Linked DNA regions of Mus musculus. The protein of the gene in region 2 interacts with the protein of the main gene of each other region in a pairwise test. Links are inferred from orthologs where the notes say so. Each region holds a gene or a part of one and is shown on either strand. Other genes may lie near its edges. The genes, in order: Odam and Tollip.

The links.
Region 1: the proteins of Tollip (region 2) and Odam interact in a two-hybrid assay, tested with the Homo sapiens proteins (2 studies listed by BioGRID and IntAct). The two-hybrid records come from large-scale screens. The link is inferred for Mus musculus from reciprocal best matches to the Homo sapiens genes TOLLIP and ODAM.

The regions. Positions count from the first base shown.
Region 1 is NC_000071.6:87,880,953-87,889,323, reverse strand, and holds the start of Odam (odontogenic ameloblast-associated protein precursor), read right to left. Parts: upstream 4,315-8,371; 5' UTR 4,278-4,314; intron 3,628-4,277; 5' UTR 3,613-3,627; coding exon 3,562-3,612; intron 3,471-3,561; coding exon 3,429-3,470; intron 2,769-3,428; coding exon 2,721-2,768; intron 2,005-2,720; coding exon 1,774-2,004; coding exon of another isoform or gene 1,735-1,773; intron 1,385-1,734; coding exon 1,340-1,384; intron 1-1,339. UniProt on the Homo sapiens protein: Tooth-associated epithelia protein that probably plays a role in odontogenesis, the complex process that results in the initiation and generation of the tooth. May be incorporated in the enamel matrix at the end of mineralization process.
Region 2 is NC_000073.6:141,890,271-141,897,969, reverse strand, and holds part of Tollip (toll-interacting protein), read left to right. Parts: intron 1-5,080; coding exon 5,081-5,230; intron 5,231-5,803; coding exon 5,804-5,986; intron 5,987-7,115; coding exon 7,116-7,268; intron 7,269-7,699. UniProt on the Homo sapiens protein: Component of the signaling pathway of IL-1 and Toll-like receptors. Inhibits cell activation by microbial products. Recruits IRAK1 to the IL-1 receptor complex. Inhibits IRAK1 phosphorylation and kinase activity.

The DNA.
Region 1 (8,371 bases), on a different chromosome or scaffold from region 2:
TGTGCAATGCTCTTCACTCTTTTACCATTGTTAATACTGTAAAGTTGGTTACACAGGTATGAACTACCATTCCCAGCAAATGTACTATGCATAGCAGATGTACAGTGCTTCTCAAATTGTGAAACAACTTGAACCCAACATGAAACAGGACTTCATTTGTAAGAATACATATTCAAACACGTTTGGCTATAATAGATTAAACTAAGGTAGGAAGCATGCCAAGAGTGAAAATCACCCATTAAGCCTTTAAAGACCTAAGAATGTTTGTCTGGTTGGGTAGAGTTTTAATATCTCAGGTTTAACATAGAGCTTAGGAGTTTATAATTCTAGAAATAGCCCACAAAGCTTTTGACATAAGCCTATGCAGAGAGCCACTGTATTAGTGGTTGAAAAGGGGGTAGAGGACTGACTTCTAACAGGCATTTGGTTCATAGGGTTAAGATACTTAATCTCATTAAATCTATGTTTCCTGGACCTTAAAATGAAGTAATTGTATTTGTCACATATCTGACTCACTACATACCTAAGGATATACAGTGAGATAATGTCTAGAATTGTGTTATTATGTAATGACAGTGTGAGTGAAACTTAATTACATAATTATACTTATAGAAGATCCAAGCAGAATAACTTTGTTTGAACAAGTCAACAGTCTTCATGTGAATCACAATTTATATATAGCCGTGTTCCTTTGAATCTGAGTTATTATACAATTGATTATCCTAATATTGACAGGGTTTCTATAGTCACATAATTTATTAGTTTAATATTAATTTTTTTCTTCCTGAAGAGAAATACTCATTTAATTATAATATGGAATTATATTTTAAATACTGCATAAAAGAGACTGGGAAAGTTTTCAGAGGAAATTTTATAATAGGCCAATAATGTGTGTTAGTGTTATTTATAATAATAAATATGATTATAATCATATATGCTATTTATAACTACACACCAGGTACAAATGCAAAATCATATGAAACAAAATTTGGGAAGGCAAAATGTCAACTCATGTTTTTATTTTTTAGCTCTTCCCCAGTGCTGGAACTTAAATACAGAGAAGACATGCTACTGGTCTTATTGAACTCATCACTTCCAGCATAGTTATGTCATAGGTATTCAAGGGTCCTAGAGACTCATTTCAGCTGCCTGTTTTTAAAAAAATCAGGTTAGGCCAACATCAGCAGATGCCCAAAAGCCACTTATGGTGCCTCTAGACAGTGGTGTGTGGTACACAGCCTTAACAGCCCTGATACTGGAAACCCAAGGGAACAAAAGGGAGTAAAAAGGAGAGTGAAATGAGCCTTTCTGTCTTTGTCAAGGAATTCTCTTCACTTACCTGTGTTTGATCTTGAGGTACTTTGACAGGTACCACATAGGACATCTGAGGAAAAGAATAGTCACAAAGTCATATAAGCAAATTACTCTTGACTTGTTATTTGCAATTCTTGGTTTGATTTCCCTAGATCTAGCTTCCCATGAATCATTTCATTAGCAATGCTCCATTAAAGTTTCTCTTCTACATGAGCTATAATTCATACAAATTCTGCTCCCACATGGTGTTTTAGTTCCTGGTTATTGACTATATTCTAGGGCAATTGGTTTTAATGTTATTTTTATGTTAAAAATCAGACTATATAAGGAGATACTTTCAGGGGTGGTTGCAATAGTAGAGGAGAAAACTTCATAAAAATCCTGTCATATTTTCAAGCTAATTCACAATAACCTTCATACCCTATCTGACAGCAGCAAGATGGAAGAAGCTTCACTTACAGGGCTAGCACTCTGCTGGGTCTGAGGTGGTGTCTGCTGCTGAGAGAGGTCTGGCTGGCCAGCCTGGCCTCCTTGGGCAAGTCCAACCTGTCTTGATAAAGGTATCTGATTTGGGAATAGTCCAGCAAAGCTCTCTAGTGTTGAGAGAGTAAACTGTGGGCGTCCTGAGACCTGAGCCTGCTGCTGCTGCAGAAACCCAGGGAAGGGAGGAATCCAGGAGTTGAAGGCACCCTGTGAAAAGCAAAGATAGAAGGCAATGGTTACTCTTTTATGAGAAAGAAAGGGAGAAAGGAAGGAAGAAAGAAAGAAAGAAAGAAAGAAAGAAAGAAAGAAAGAAAGGAAGGAAGGAAGGAAGGAAGGAAGGAAGGAAGACAAGGAAAGAAAGAAAGAAAGAAAGAAAGAAAGAAAGAAAGAAAGAAAGAAAGAAAGAAAGAAAGAAAGAAAGAAAGAAATTGAAATCAACCCCCAGTAAGAAAGGCAAAAAGAGAAGACAGCATCTCAACAACTAATAAATGTCACAGTTTTCAAATGATGAGAAACATGGAACACAAAGTTAATAAAACAGCGCAAGTTTCTGCAGATCTTTGACTGGAATCAAAAGACCTGCCCCCTACTCCTCATGGTTGGCTATATGTGGCTTGTTTAAAAAAATTAAGTGTGTCAAAAATCAACAGAATTACTATGTGGCACATAACAATTTTTTTTTTACAACTCCAAAGCTGCCCCCCTTCCAGTCTCCTCTCATTGAGTTCCTTCCCTCCCCCATCTCTCCTCCCCTTCTCTTCTGCAAGGATGGAGGCCTCCTTGATATCTCCCCACCCTAGTTCATCAAGTTATACCATTTTTTAAAACAAGTATAAGTAAATGCATTTTGTTCTCATCCCATACCATAAGAAATGCTCATTAGAAATATATTCCCTTTGAACTAAACCATTACATAGCAGTACCTGGAACTGCAGTGGCAAAAGTTGACCATTATTAAGATTCAGGAGTAGCTGGAAAAGGAGAGACAAGATGGAAACTAGATGACTATGCAGTCTGAAATGCTTTCTGTAGATAGAGTACAAGGCAGTGCTGGTTGATCAACTCTCAATTTGAAGGGCCACATTTCCCCAACAAGACTGCATTAAATCACAGTGATTAGATAAGTTAGAGTTGAAAGCAAGGCTTGGGTTTAACAGTGCCATTCCTACTGTGTACAAGAGTGCACAGTTTCGGCTCATCCCAGTGGCTTGGGTATTTTCTATGTTTATACATTGATTTTTGAGATCCACATAGGGAGCTATTGGAACAAATTGTGTTTGGGGAATTAGAAGGAGGAAAAACACTCTTTAACAAGGTACACAGGAAAACAGCCATGCAACTCGGGAATATGTTTAGAAATGTTTAATTTAAGGCCCATTGGACACACAAACTTTATATGCCCCAGAACAGGGGAACGCCAGGGCCAAAAAGGGGGAGTGGGCGGGTAGGGGAGTGGGGGTGGGTGGGTATGGGGGACTTTTGGTATAGCATTGGAAATGTAAATGAGCTAAATACCTAATAAAAAATGGAAAAAAAAAAAAGACCTACAGGGCTGGATGCAGAATTTTATCTCTTCCCAGTGTGTCTTCACATACAGAATGCAGGAGAATGTTTTAATAACTTAAACTAACCTCATGACTGTTGCTAGCAGACAATAGACGCTGCGAGATAAGCTAAAAAAAGAAAAAAAGAAACAAAGAAAAGCTGTGAAGCGGGGTAAATGCATGGGTTTATATGTAATCTGAAGCACAATGAAACACTTACCGGGGCTGATGATGAGGCTCCTATGAGTCCAAGAAGAATTATAATTTTCATTTTCAGATGGTATACCTATAGAGCAAGTTGTGACACATGGCTTTAAAAGAGACTTTTTGCTTAAAGTTTAATGACCAAAATAAAGACTGGCAAATTCATCAGACCACCTATCAAATCCAAGTAAACAGTTGATTCAGTTCTTCAAGTCTAATGTTTTACGGCTCAAAATAAAATGTTCTTATAATAACCATTGTCTCATTTTCTCTCAGTGTAGCTATTTATGGGGAAGAGCTGTTTGCTTGACCATAAAGTTCATTTAGTGGCAGGTGATTGTTAGGCTCTGACAGAAGTGAATGCCCTGTGGAGCCCCCTACCTGGAGTTTAACTGACTGGATTCTTATTATTAGGATGATCTTAATGTTCTTAGTGAAAAGGCATCATAACAAAAATCTAAGAATCCTAAGCAAAAGAGAAAAATTTCCACTAGAAGTCTAATACTGCTGATTATTAACTGTAGTGGTCATAGCACTACAAGGGACAGGAAAGGGAAATGGCAGTAGTGATGCATATCATAGCATAACTAGTGGACACTTCTTGTCTCCTGCCTCTACTTGAAGAGTTCCCACCATATTTCATATCCCAGACATAGACAAACAATAGAGTGCCCATGGTAGTGCATCAGAGCTGGGCTCTTAAACTACCAAAGCAAAGATTTGATATCTTACCTTACTTCTTTGCAAGATCTGTGCCCCTTTCTTTCTCAGTCTGCTGTTCAGATCCTCTTAAAATTTAAAACCCATCTTTAGAAAAAAAAAGGGACCAATCATGATTGAAAGGGACCAGTGATTCAGTGGGTTTTAGACAATGGCTTAGCTAATAACCCCTTTCCTAATCATCTTTGTGGTGTATGGATTCCCACACCCTAAGTAATGCCTTTCAATTACCCCAAAGACATTTTTCTGTGCTCGCTCCTGGCTTTTTCTTGGTCATGACTAACTCCCCTAGGCTAATTTTGTTCCACTCCTTTTTATCATTTTAAAAATGGATAACTTAAATAAGTAACCCAAAAATCCTTTACTAAATTCAAGACCAAATTATTGATCTTTTTAACTTTGAGAAAAAAATTCAGACTGAAGACAGAACACAGATATTAGTACATATTCAAAGCATGGTTGCTGACAAATATTATCCAGTGTTCTGATACTAGGTTGAGGTAAGATGAGGTGGATTGTCTTAAGTTTTTTTAAATTAAGTTTTAATTAATCTCATACACTATATCCTGGCCACAGCTTCCCCATCCTCCACTGTTTTCAGCTTCTCCTCTTCCCAAGATTCACATCCTCTCTGCTGTTCTTCAGAAGAGAGTTGTCTTCTAAGTGACATCAACCAAACATGGCAAAATGAGATACATTAAGACAAGGCAAAAGTCCTCTTGTCAAAGCTGGGCCAGGCAACCCAATAGGAGGTAAAGAGCCCCAAGAGCAGGCAAGAGTCAGAGACACGCTATTCCCACTCTAAGGATCATTTTTAGAGGTCATCACTTAAACCTTTTAACAACAATGGTGAATATCCTTCTTTTTCTAAAATAAAATTTTAAAAATCTGAATTTCTATATGTCTACGAAATGAATGACCTTAAGTTAATCAACATGAATCACAGTTTCTTACGGTTTCCGATATTGAAAGTATAACAGTATGATTAACTAAACATTATTTGAATTCATTTATTTCAAAGAATTGAGTGTTTATTCTGAGTGTCAATATTTTATATTCTAATGTTCTAGGATCACAAGTATTCTGATGAAAAATTATCAATTAATTTCCATTATGTGGGAATTACTTGGTTAATTTGTTCTTATCATGTAATGAAAACAAAAGCTAATGGCTTTCTAAAACAAAGTTTAATAAAAACTTTCCTAACAAAATGGAACTTAGAGTTTGAGCATTGGATATCTGTGCAGCAAATGGAATCCCTAAAAGTCTAAATCATTTATTAAAATAACATGACCTTTTATCATATGAAAGAAGAGAAGTTACCGCTAGGTTTTATATGTATCAAAAAAATCTCAACATTAGATATTTAGACTCTGCTAGAATGTGATAGCTAATATACTGAAACTCGGTAAAAAAAAAAAAATCTCAAGACTAGATATTTAGGCTATGTTAAAATGTGATAGCTAATTTACTGAAACTCTCTACTTAATATAATAACCATTCCAGGCTTAAAAATGTAGACAATTAATTAAGTGGTTAAACTAGATAGAAGGGTTTTTTTTCATATTTACACACACACACACACACACACACACACACACACACACACACATGATATGTGTATATAGACAGACTTTGGCTTACTTTTGAATATTTCCAAATTAAACTAAATATACTGTAAGTTAACAGTCACTTGAGAATTTCTGTTACATCCCACATGACCCAGGCAGCTAACCCCACTACTGAGTCAGAAATTTGCCAAGGATTTGAACTAAACTGAGATGGCAATATCCTGATGTGAATAGCTTCATTTTGCTTTACTCTTCAAGTCTGAAGATAATTAAGAGGCTTTATTTGAATTTTCCATTAGCTGACTATCTTAAAGAAAAGTAGTTGAGTGGCTGGACAGAAGGCTTTATGGTTAAAAGCACTTACCTTCTTCTCAGCACCTCACGGTACCTTCTCCAAAATTGACCATATAAACGGTCACAAAACAGGCCTCAACAGATACAAGAAAATTGAAATATCCCATGCATCCTGTCAGATCACCACAGACTAAGGTTGGTCTTCAAGAGCAATAAAAACAACAGAAAGCCCACAAACCCATGGAAGCTGAACAATGCCCTACTCAATGATAACTCGGACAAGGAAGAAATAAAGAAAGAAATTAAAGACCTTTTAGAATTTAATGAAAATGAAGGCACAGCATATCCAAATTTATGGGACACAATGAAATCAGTATTAAGAGGAAAACTCATAGCTCTAAGTGCCTTCAAAAAGAAACTGGAGAGAGCATACACTAGCAGCTTGACAGCACACCTAAATGCTCTAGAACAAAAAGAAGCAAATACACCCAAGAGGAGTAGATGGAAGGAAATAATCAAACTCAGGGCTGAAATCAACCAAGTGTAAACAAAAAGAACTATACAAAGAATTAACAAAACCAGGAGCTGGTTGTTTGAGAAAGATTTTTCTTTCTTTCTTTCTTTCTTTCTTTCTTTCTTTCTTTCTTTCTTTCTTTCTTTCTTTCTTTCTTTCTTTCTTTTTCCTTCCTTCTTTCCTTCCTTCCTTCCTTCCTCTCTATCTTTCTTTCTCTCTTTATCTTTCTTTCTCTCTCTCTTTCCTCTTTTTCTTTTGTTCTTTTGTTCTTTTATTGTTCTTTTTTTGTTTTTTTTTTTTGTTTTTGATTTTTGTTTTTTGTTTTATATATCAAATACAGTCTAACAGGACTAAAACTGAAAAAGGAAACTTGAGAAAATATCTCCATCAGATTGTCTAGTAGGCAAAAGATTATTGAGTATTTTCTTGGCTGATGATTTACTCTTGCAAGTGCCATCCCTGAACAGCTGGAATAAGAAATCAATCTGCACAAGATAATAATCATATTTCTTCACAACCTCTTCTTCAGTGCCAGCCTCCTCCAAGTTCATGTTTGATTTTCTGTCCTGACTACCATTGATAATGTACTGTAAGATATAAAATGAAATAAACTCTTTCCTCTCCAAACAAACAAACAAAACACTAAAAATGAAAAAAACAGAAACAAACCAAAACAACAACAACAAGAACAACCTCCCCCAAGCTCCCACAAAACAAAACAAAACCAAAACAAAACAAACCAAACCAAAACAAAACAAAACAAAATTCTTGCTGCTCTTGTAGAAGACCTGGGTTTGGGTCTCAGTGCCAACATTATATGGCTCAAAACTACATGTAGCTATGGTTCCCGAAGGCTTGAAACTATTTTCTGGCTTCCATTGACAATCCCCACATGCACATACATGTATGTGGGCACACACAAATGTATATAAGATTAAAAACAATTTAAAATGTAGTTAAAACTTACCATATATGTAACAGTTGACACACCTAGAAAACAACAGCCCATGCCTTAATATATGATAACTTCCAAGTCCCTATATCATTGTAAGCAAAGATATACCTGAGGGGAGAGGAAGACCTTGTTTCTATACTGCAGTGTGCATGTTGAGTGTGCCTATTTGTCATATTCAAGACTGTTGTACATGTGCCCTTCCTATAATTACATCATTTATGTAGAACACATTTCATTAAGTTTTGTTGAATAAATGATTTATATAATTTAAGTGAGGAAAAAGATCCAGTGCTATATATAGGTCCAGATCATTCAGTATAGGTTAAGGTTCAAGGACACAGGATGAGAAAATCCTGAACCAGACAGATATTGTAACTGGACGTCATTATTTTGTTTTCGTTCATTCACCAGCACAAAACAAAACTTCATTCAAATAAAAAGGTGAAACTACATGGATCAAATGCACATGACTGTTGGATTAGGTACCAGTGAAATTATTCATATCTGTGCTCTGTCTTAGTAACCTAAATGTTGACATGACTTAGTTTTTTTAAGAATCCACCAAGAGGCTCACAGAATACTGTTGTGAAGTTGACTACTGTTCTGTGGATTATGAAAAATAAATCTGAACTTTGGCACTCCTTAAAATAAAATGATTTTTGTAATACATGATCTATAATTTCCAGGAATTTCTAATACATACCTATATAGCAAAGATGAAAAAGATGAGGCTCAAGAGGTCCAGCATCTTTCTTCATTGTTTATCCAGTGA
Region 2 (7,699 bases):
TGAGTGTAGTTCCTGAGGGCTGTGTGGAGTGGCACTCAGTCCACTGCATGCCTGCCCTGCTGTCATCTCGTCACTCCTTTACTAGTCTTCCATTCTTTGGAGTTTCAGTATAAACCACTGAAAGCCTTTCAAGTGCAGTTTCCATCCTGACTGAGGGCCGATCGCCATATATTGAACAATATAGAACTGTTGTCAGGGCTCATGAGGATGCGCCAGATTTATGCATGGAGAGTGCAACAGGCCCAGCTCATGGAAATACCATGAACTAGTAAGATGCTAGGTCCTTATGAATTGTTTTTCATTTTTCAGAAAACATATTTCTGTGATCGAATCCTTTTCTGATACTATTTTGCTTTGACACCAGAGAGGCAGAAGAGCTGGGTTCAGGTGGTTGTGAAGTTGCCAGGTACCTATGAAGGCCAATAGGACTGGCTGCAGTGACTGTGGGGAGAGAGCAGCAGCTAGTTTTGTGCATAGGAATCCCTGTGATCACTGGCTCTGGAAGGCATCAGGCAGTAGATCCACCTCTGCCCAGCTGCCAGATACTCTAAACTATGAACTGCTGCTGCTTTAGGATTCTTCCTTGCTCCCGTTAGCCTTGCAGTGCCAGAGCCTCACACACATGGATGCATGCATGCAACTCACATACTTGTATGCACACTCACCTGTAGAAGTAACTGTGTCGCTGCCTATCTTTTTTGCTGAACTCTAGACTAGCACCTTCTTGAGTTCCTACAGTGTCCCAGACATGCTAGCAGATAGGTTCTCTGTGCTGGGCAGGCCAGATGCCTTTGGACAACCCCTAGGAGAGACATCTAGCTTCTCTGTAGATAGGGAAGTCCCATGGGCTGTGCTGCAGATTCTAAATTCATTAGATTCATTATGTGTGCCCTCATTTACTAGATTTGTCCGCCTGTTCCTAGTTTGAGTTGCCCTCAAATGCTACACAGAGCCAAGGCTGAAGCCTACTGTGCCCTGCCTACTTGTCCCCCTTTTTTTGGTCAGGGTCCTAGGGATTCCTTTCATTCTTTTAGGGACACAGAAATATCTCATTCTTTTTGCCAGTTGTGAGTCTGGGCCACAGAGATGCTTTGCTTGGTGGCTCTTCCTTTGTCCTGGGCCTGAAGGAACCAGCATACTTATGCTATGTTCTTGCAGCTTTGCCATGGGACCCGTGCCTGGAATTGAATTTGTTGGCTCTTAACCAACATGTTTGAAGTCATTTGTTAGTATTCATCTTATACTCTTAGATAAACTGCAAAAAAGATCTACTGTGAGTCTGTTAACAGAATCATCATTTAATTTTTCTGAGTCTTTAAGCCATGATAAAAATTTATTTCATGTGGCCAATATATGGCAAAAATTTCATCCACCAGTATATGGCAAAAATACATCTTAGGATTAGCCCTGTATTTTAAAACTTTACTAAAAATAGCTGTTTATTGATGGTATTTTCTAGTGCTGTCAGTGACTTTATAGAATTTGCACCAATGCCTGAATTCATCTCTTGTTTTGAAGTATTCCTCACTATGCTAACAGTGGTGACTCCTTTAGGTATAGCAAGAGGTGTCCTCATTTAGACAACTCATCAGGGACCTGCAGCAACAGGCAGGCTTGTCTTTCCCTCCCAGGACAGAGAGTATTGGTTGTATAACCACCTTGTTTATCTGGCTCAGGCTTACGTCTTTCCTACTCTCCCTGCTCCCTCTTTAGGTTAAGGTGAAACTTTTTCTAGTAAAATTGTGACTTGAGAAAAGCTATAGAAAAAAGTTCTCATCTCATTTTCCTTGATGTCATATTCACGGACCAATGTCACTGCCACGAAACTGGCTTCAGTCCATGTTCTACATTCAGCTTGTTCAGCTTGTTCCCTTCACTGCTATGGGCTCCTCCCAGTACCTTGCCTTGCCTTTGACCACATCTCAGGCTTCCTTGTTTTTTTGTTTTTGTTTTGTTTTTTGAGAAAGAACATTGTTGAGGGTGTTGTAGAACATCCTTGGCTTAGATGAAGTCTCACCTAGCTAAGTCAGAATGGGTTAGCTTTCTCTACCACAATGTTGCTTTTCTACTCTTCATTAACACTGTTAAATTCACAATGTTAAAACTTTCCTTTCCTATTTATAATTTTATGGTTAGATCTTTATTGAAAAATAGCACATTTGAATTAGAGCATTGTGCATGCTGGGCAAATGTTCTACTGCAGAGCTCTACTTCAATCCTATCCACATTTTATCTTAATCTCACCCCACCCCAGCAGTCTCTATCTCTTTAATGAAAGCCTGGAAGAGTATAATAGGAAATCTCAATGTCTGAAGTTTCTAGTCCCAAGAAGAGAATGATAAGATACAAAGTAAAAAACAGCCCTGACTTGTCCCACATAGTCTTTCCTGACCTCCATGCCTGAAGATCCCCCATGACTGCCTATATCCTGACTTATCACTGTGATATCCACTGGTCTGCTTACCCTCCTATGTGTATCCTTCAAAGGCACAGTGTGTCCTGCTGCAGTCCTAAAACTGTACTATATGGCATACAATTGATAGTTGTTCCTATGACAAGTGAGAACTTGGCCTATATAGATTAACCCCAAGAACCTGACTGAAGAAAATCTGTTTTTGCCTAATAACCTATTTATGATGTATAGATAAAACTGGGTATACATCGTGGAGGTGCACCCTCGAAATTCACTGTAGACTAACACAGGTATGGGACAGAAATTCCTCTGGGAGGGACTCAGGGTTTCCTCTATACCGTAGATACTGGCTCCTGTCTTCTCGAGCCACAGCCCTTCCTCATCTCTTCTGGACTCCCCGGAAGCATTTGTGGTGTGCCGTGGGGAAGGCTGTTTATCCAAGGGAGGCTTCAGGTATTGGAAACTGCCTTTCTTGGTAACCATGAGTCTCACTGGCCACAGCTACTTTGTGGAAAGCTTCTGCCTATGAGGGCTGAGCTCCCTCCTTGTTCTGGACTCTGAGTGACCCCAGAGGTGCAGAGGGGTATGCTGCTAAGTAGTCACCACTCACAGATAAGTGTGACATGCTTTTTTCAAGTTAGAGGATCGTAGTGGGAACATCATCAGGGTGGCCCACAGAGAACTCTGGGCTGTATCCTTGGTTGGTTCTGAACATCTGACTAGTCTGTATGTTTTGGAAACACAGAAATGGGGAGAGAGTAAGGGGCTAGACTTGAGGATCCAGTGACTTTTGCTTGCTTCTTTCCTTTATTAATTTATTTGATCTATTTTTTGGGATAGGGTCTTGCTATATAACTCAAGCTGGCCTGGAACTCACTATGTAGCTCAGATTGGCTTTGAACTCTCTGCCTCAGTCTCCCAAGTGCTGGGAATGTGAAAGTGAGCCACCATGCCTACCTTTTTCAAGGACCTTTGAAAAGAAGACCCAAACCCCTTGGAGTTTCCCAGGTGCTGGGAGCTGAAAACCCTGCAGAAAGTGGAAGTGTACATAGTGCATATCAGTGGGAACCCACGGCTGGGTGGACAGGTGGGAGTGTGTGCAGTGGAGGTAGGCAGGGTGTCATAGAACCTGGATACCAAGTGTTCCCAGCAGGTCTCAGTAAATTGACTCTGTCACAGCTCACATTTGACATTGGTGCTTCTGGGCAAGCATGCATGGTAGGACTGCTTTAGGCACCTGATTGCTGCTCAGGTCCTTCTTCAGTGGGCTTTCAGTCTTCAGAACTTCCTCAGCTGTCCCTTAATTGTGAGTATTTTCTCTATGTAACTTAGACTGGTACCCACTGGGCAAGGAGCAGTCCTGGCTTCTGTTGTGTTATCCTGGGTGAAGCTGTGGATGCTTGCTCCCAAGGCTGTCCTCACTGGTCCTAAGTAGCTAACATCTCAGCTGCTACAAAAGGGTCCTTAGCCCTCCCTTCTTGGGCCCCAGGTAGGTATACCATTTCCAATTGGTGTTTTCTTCCCAGGAAGCCCTGGTTCATCATGTATTCGTTGGTCTTCCTCTGCAGTAGGGGTCCTGTGGTTAAACTCCAAAATGAATCTTAGCCAGGGCCACCATTAGGAGTCTTGGTTAACCTTTCCCCTTTCCTTTGCTCTCCTCTTTTTCTTGAAAAACTCTACTTTCTTAGAGCACTTCAGGTCTCCCTCGAGCTAGCCTTTTTACTGACTGAGATATATTCTTTTTTTATTTATTTTTTATTGGATATCTTTATTTACATTGCAAATGTTTTCCCCTTTCCGGGTCTCCCCTTCAGAAATCCCCTATCCCATCGCCCCTCCCTCTGCCTATATGAGGGTGCTTACCCACCCACCTACCCACTTCTGTCTTCCTGCCCTGGCATTCCCCTACACTGGGGTATCGAACACCCCTTGGGCCCAAGGGCTGCTCCTTCCACTGATATCCAACAAGACGATCCTCTGCCACATATGCGACTGGAGCCATAGGTCCCTCCATGTGTAGTCTTTGGTTGGTGGTCTAGTCCCTGGGAGCTCCAGGGGGTCTGGCCAGTTGACACTGTTGCTCCCCTCATGGGGCTGCAAACCCTCTCAGCTCCTTCAGTCCCTTCTCCAACTCCATCAAGGACCCCCAAGCTCAGCCCAGTGGTTGGCTGCAAGCATCCACCTCTGTATTTGTCAGGCTCTGGTAGAGCCTCTCAGGGGACAGCCATATTAGGCACCTGTCAGCAAGCACTTTCAGGCATCTACAATAGGGTCTGGGTTTGGTGACTGTATATGGGATGGATCCCCAGGTGGGGCAGTTTCTGGATGGCATTTCCTTCAGTCTCTGTTCCACACTTTGTTTCCATATTTCTTCCTGTGAGTATTTTGCTCCCCTGAAATATATTCTTAACCTTCCAAGGGTCTGGTTTGCCTTGAGTACCTCCTGAATAAGGTGTGTGTCTTCAGGGAAAGGGAGCTCAGATGAGGGGAGGCTGGATCTCTTGTTTAAAAAAATAAAAAAAAAGCAAAACACTCTCTAAACTTTGGTAAGGTGAGCAGAGCTGGACTGTGCCTGAGTGACACACCTCTCTAAGGTAAGCCAGATAGTACTTTGAGATTGCTTGGCATTCTGCTTTGACTCTACTCTTTTTCTCTCCTCACTGGAAGGTGTACATTGGTGAACTCCCCCAGGACTTCCTCCGTATAACACCCACACAACAGCAGCAGCAGATCCAGCTGGATGCCCAGGCAGCCCAGCAGCTGCAGTATGGAGGAACAGTTGGTACCGTGGGTCGCCTCAGCATCACTGTGGTACAGGTGGGTCTTAGTTTCCTGTTGAAGACTGGTGGGATTGAGCAGAAGGGGAGGCACTGGGCATGGGGCTTTGCATCTCATTTCCCATGTGCACAGTAGAATTTTTTTGATTCTAGTTATTCTTGAAAATATCTGGTAATACCTGTTGATTCCTCAGGGATCTGCCTAAGATACTGTTGGTCCATGTCAGGCATTGTACTCCGTGAGGACGCTTTCCCTGATGGCCCCTTTGTAGCAGTGAGCTGCTCATTCCTGCACAACAGCTCTGCCGACCGCACTTCCCATTCAACCTCAGCTCCGTGCTGAGGCCTAGGATGCGCACACTCAGTGCAGTGTCAGAGGAGAGGTCTTGTCTTACTGCTCACAGGTGTTGCCAGGTATGGCTAGGTTCCAGGGGCATGAGTCCAGGAGTGACTGGCAGCATGTTCAAGAGCAGGTTACTGACACGATTAGGTGAACTTGAAGGCTGTTTTTTCACACACTGGGAAATATCTGTAAGAAAAGCAGTTTACAGATGCACTGGCCTTTGTCTCTGCTGGTGAATGCCACATTTTTCTAAATTTGGTGTTGTTTCAGGCAAAATTGGCAAAGAATTATGGCATGACTCGTATGGACCCTTACTGCCGTCTGCGTCTGGGCTATGCTGTTTATGAAACTCCCACAGCACACAATGGGGCCAAGAACCCTCGCTGGAACAAAGTCATTCAGTGCACAGTGCCCCCAGGTGTGGACTCGTTCTACCTTGAGATCTTCGATGAGGTGAGAGATGCCCCAGTGTTACAGACCTGTCTAGTTTGGGATCTGACAGACATGGGTGTGCTGTAGTGTGCCTTGTGGGTTTAGTCATGAAGCTGTTCTCCTGGTGCTCAGGCCCTGTATACATACCTAGCATTTAGTGACTGGTGACAGGGTGTGACCTGCCTGGACACCTGGCATTTAGTGGCTAAATGACAAGCTACAGATTTTTTCTCTCAGTTCCTTTGACAGTGTCCATTGGGAGCCATCACCAGCAGTAGAAGCATGAGTAGAGTGTGAAAATAGATGTTCACGGGCACGTCAGATTTCAAGCAAGTCAGGCTCCACTCGTGATGGGAGCACTGTTCTTGTAGGCATGAGTTCCAGGCTCTGCCAGTAATGTCCCATGGCTGTTCCAGCAGTTAGGCATGCAGCTTTTTGAGGGCAATCAGGAAACTCAGGTGGAAGATGTCTCCTTGTAGCTTAGCTGTGGAGGTCATATGCTTGTTTCCTTGAAACAGCAAAGGGCAGTGGGAAAAAAATGGAGGCATGAGAGCCAAAGAGGACATTGGCATGGGAGGCCCAGTGAGGGGACACAGTTTCTCCTTTGTCTTGACCCTCTGCCTCTTGCTCTACTTTCTTCTTGTTTGTTTGTTTAGTTGGTTGGTTTTGTCCCTTTCTCCTCCTTCTGTGTCTGAGAATAGTAAGGATATGAGAAGGAGGTTTGGGGCTGTGGGTGGTGGCTTGGAGCTCTTGTCCTCATCTGTACCTACTGGGCTTGATACTTGCTTCTTATATCTAGTGGATTAGGAGTAAGGGCCCAAGGACTGGGGAAGATAGTGTCCATCCCTGAACAAGGATGACAGCCCAGAGATTCTTTATTGTCCTTTGGCCTGGCCTCATGGTTGTTACTCAGAAGATGCAGAAATGGTGGTGGCCAGGTCTAGGTGATCTATGGAGGTCTGGCGTTATGGTTTAATGGGAAGCTCCTTGACGGAAGATGGAGCAGTGAGGAGGAACCTCTCCTGCCAAGAAGATAGAAGGTAGATGCAGGCACCAGTCCAGGTGGAGTCACAGCCATAGGAAAAGCTCGTCTCTATAACATGGGTTGTTGTGGGCCATGATGAGGTCATTTTACTCTTGTCTTCCTCAGCGCGCCTTCTCCATGGATGACCGCATAGCTTGGACCCACATCACCATCCCCGAGTCCCTGAAGCAGGGCCAAGTGGAGGACGAGTGGTATAGCCTGAGTGGGAGGCAGGGCGATGACAAGGAGGGCATGATTAACCTGGTCATGTCCTACACGGTGAGTTCACTGTCCGGAGAGGCCATCCTCAAAGAGGTTATGGCACCTCCTTGAGGCAGCTATGGCTCCCAGAATCCCAGAACCTTGGGAAGTCATGGGAGGCAGGGCTGGGCATCTGAGCTCCCAGTGTCTCCTTTGTATTATCTAGGCCTTTCATTTTAGTTGTTGCAGAGTCTTTGAGAACAGGGGAGTATAAAGCACTCTGATGCAGGCCTCCTCAGCTTGACCATCCTACATGCCTCTCCTGGTGTTGAGTGTTACCTGTCTTTAACAGGTGCTTTATGTAGCATAGGTCCATTTTACACTATCGCATCTACAGTTCAAGATTATTAGAGCTGGTCCAGGAGAGGTGGCTTAACAGGTAAGAGCACTGCTGCTCTTGTGGAAATTTCCAGGTTTGATTCCCAGCCTCTACATGGTGGCTCACAACC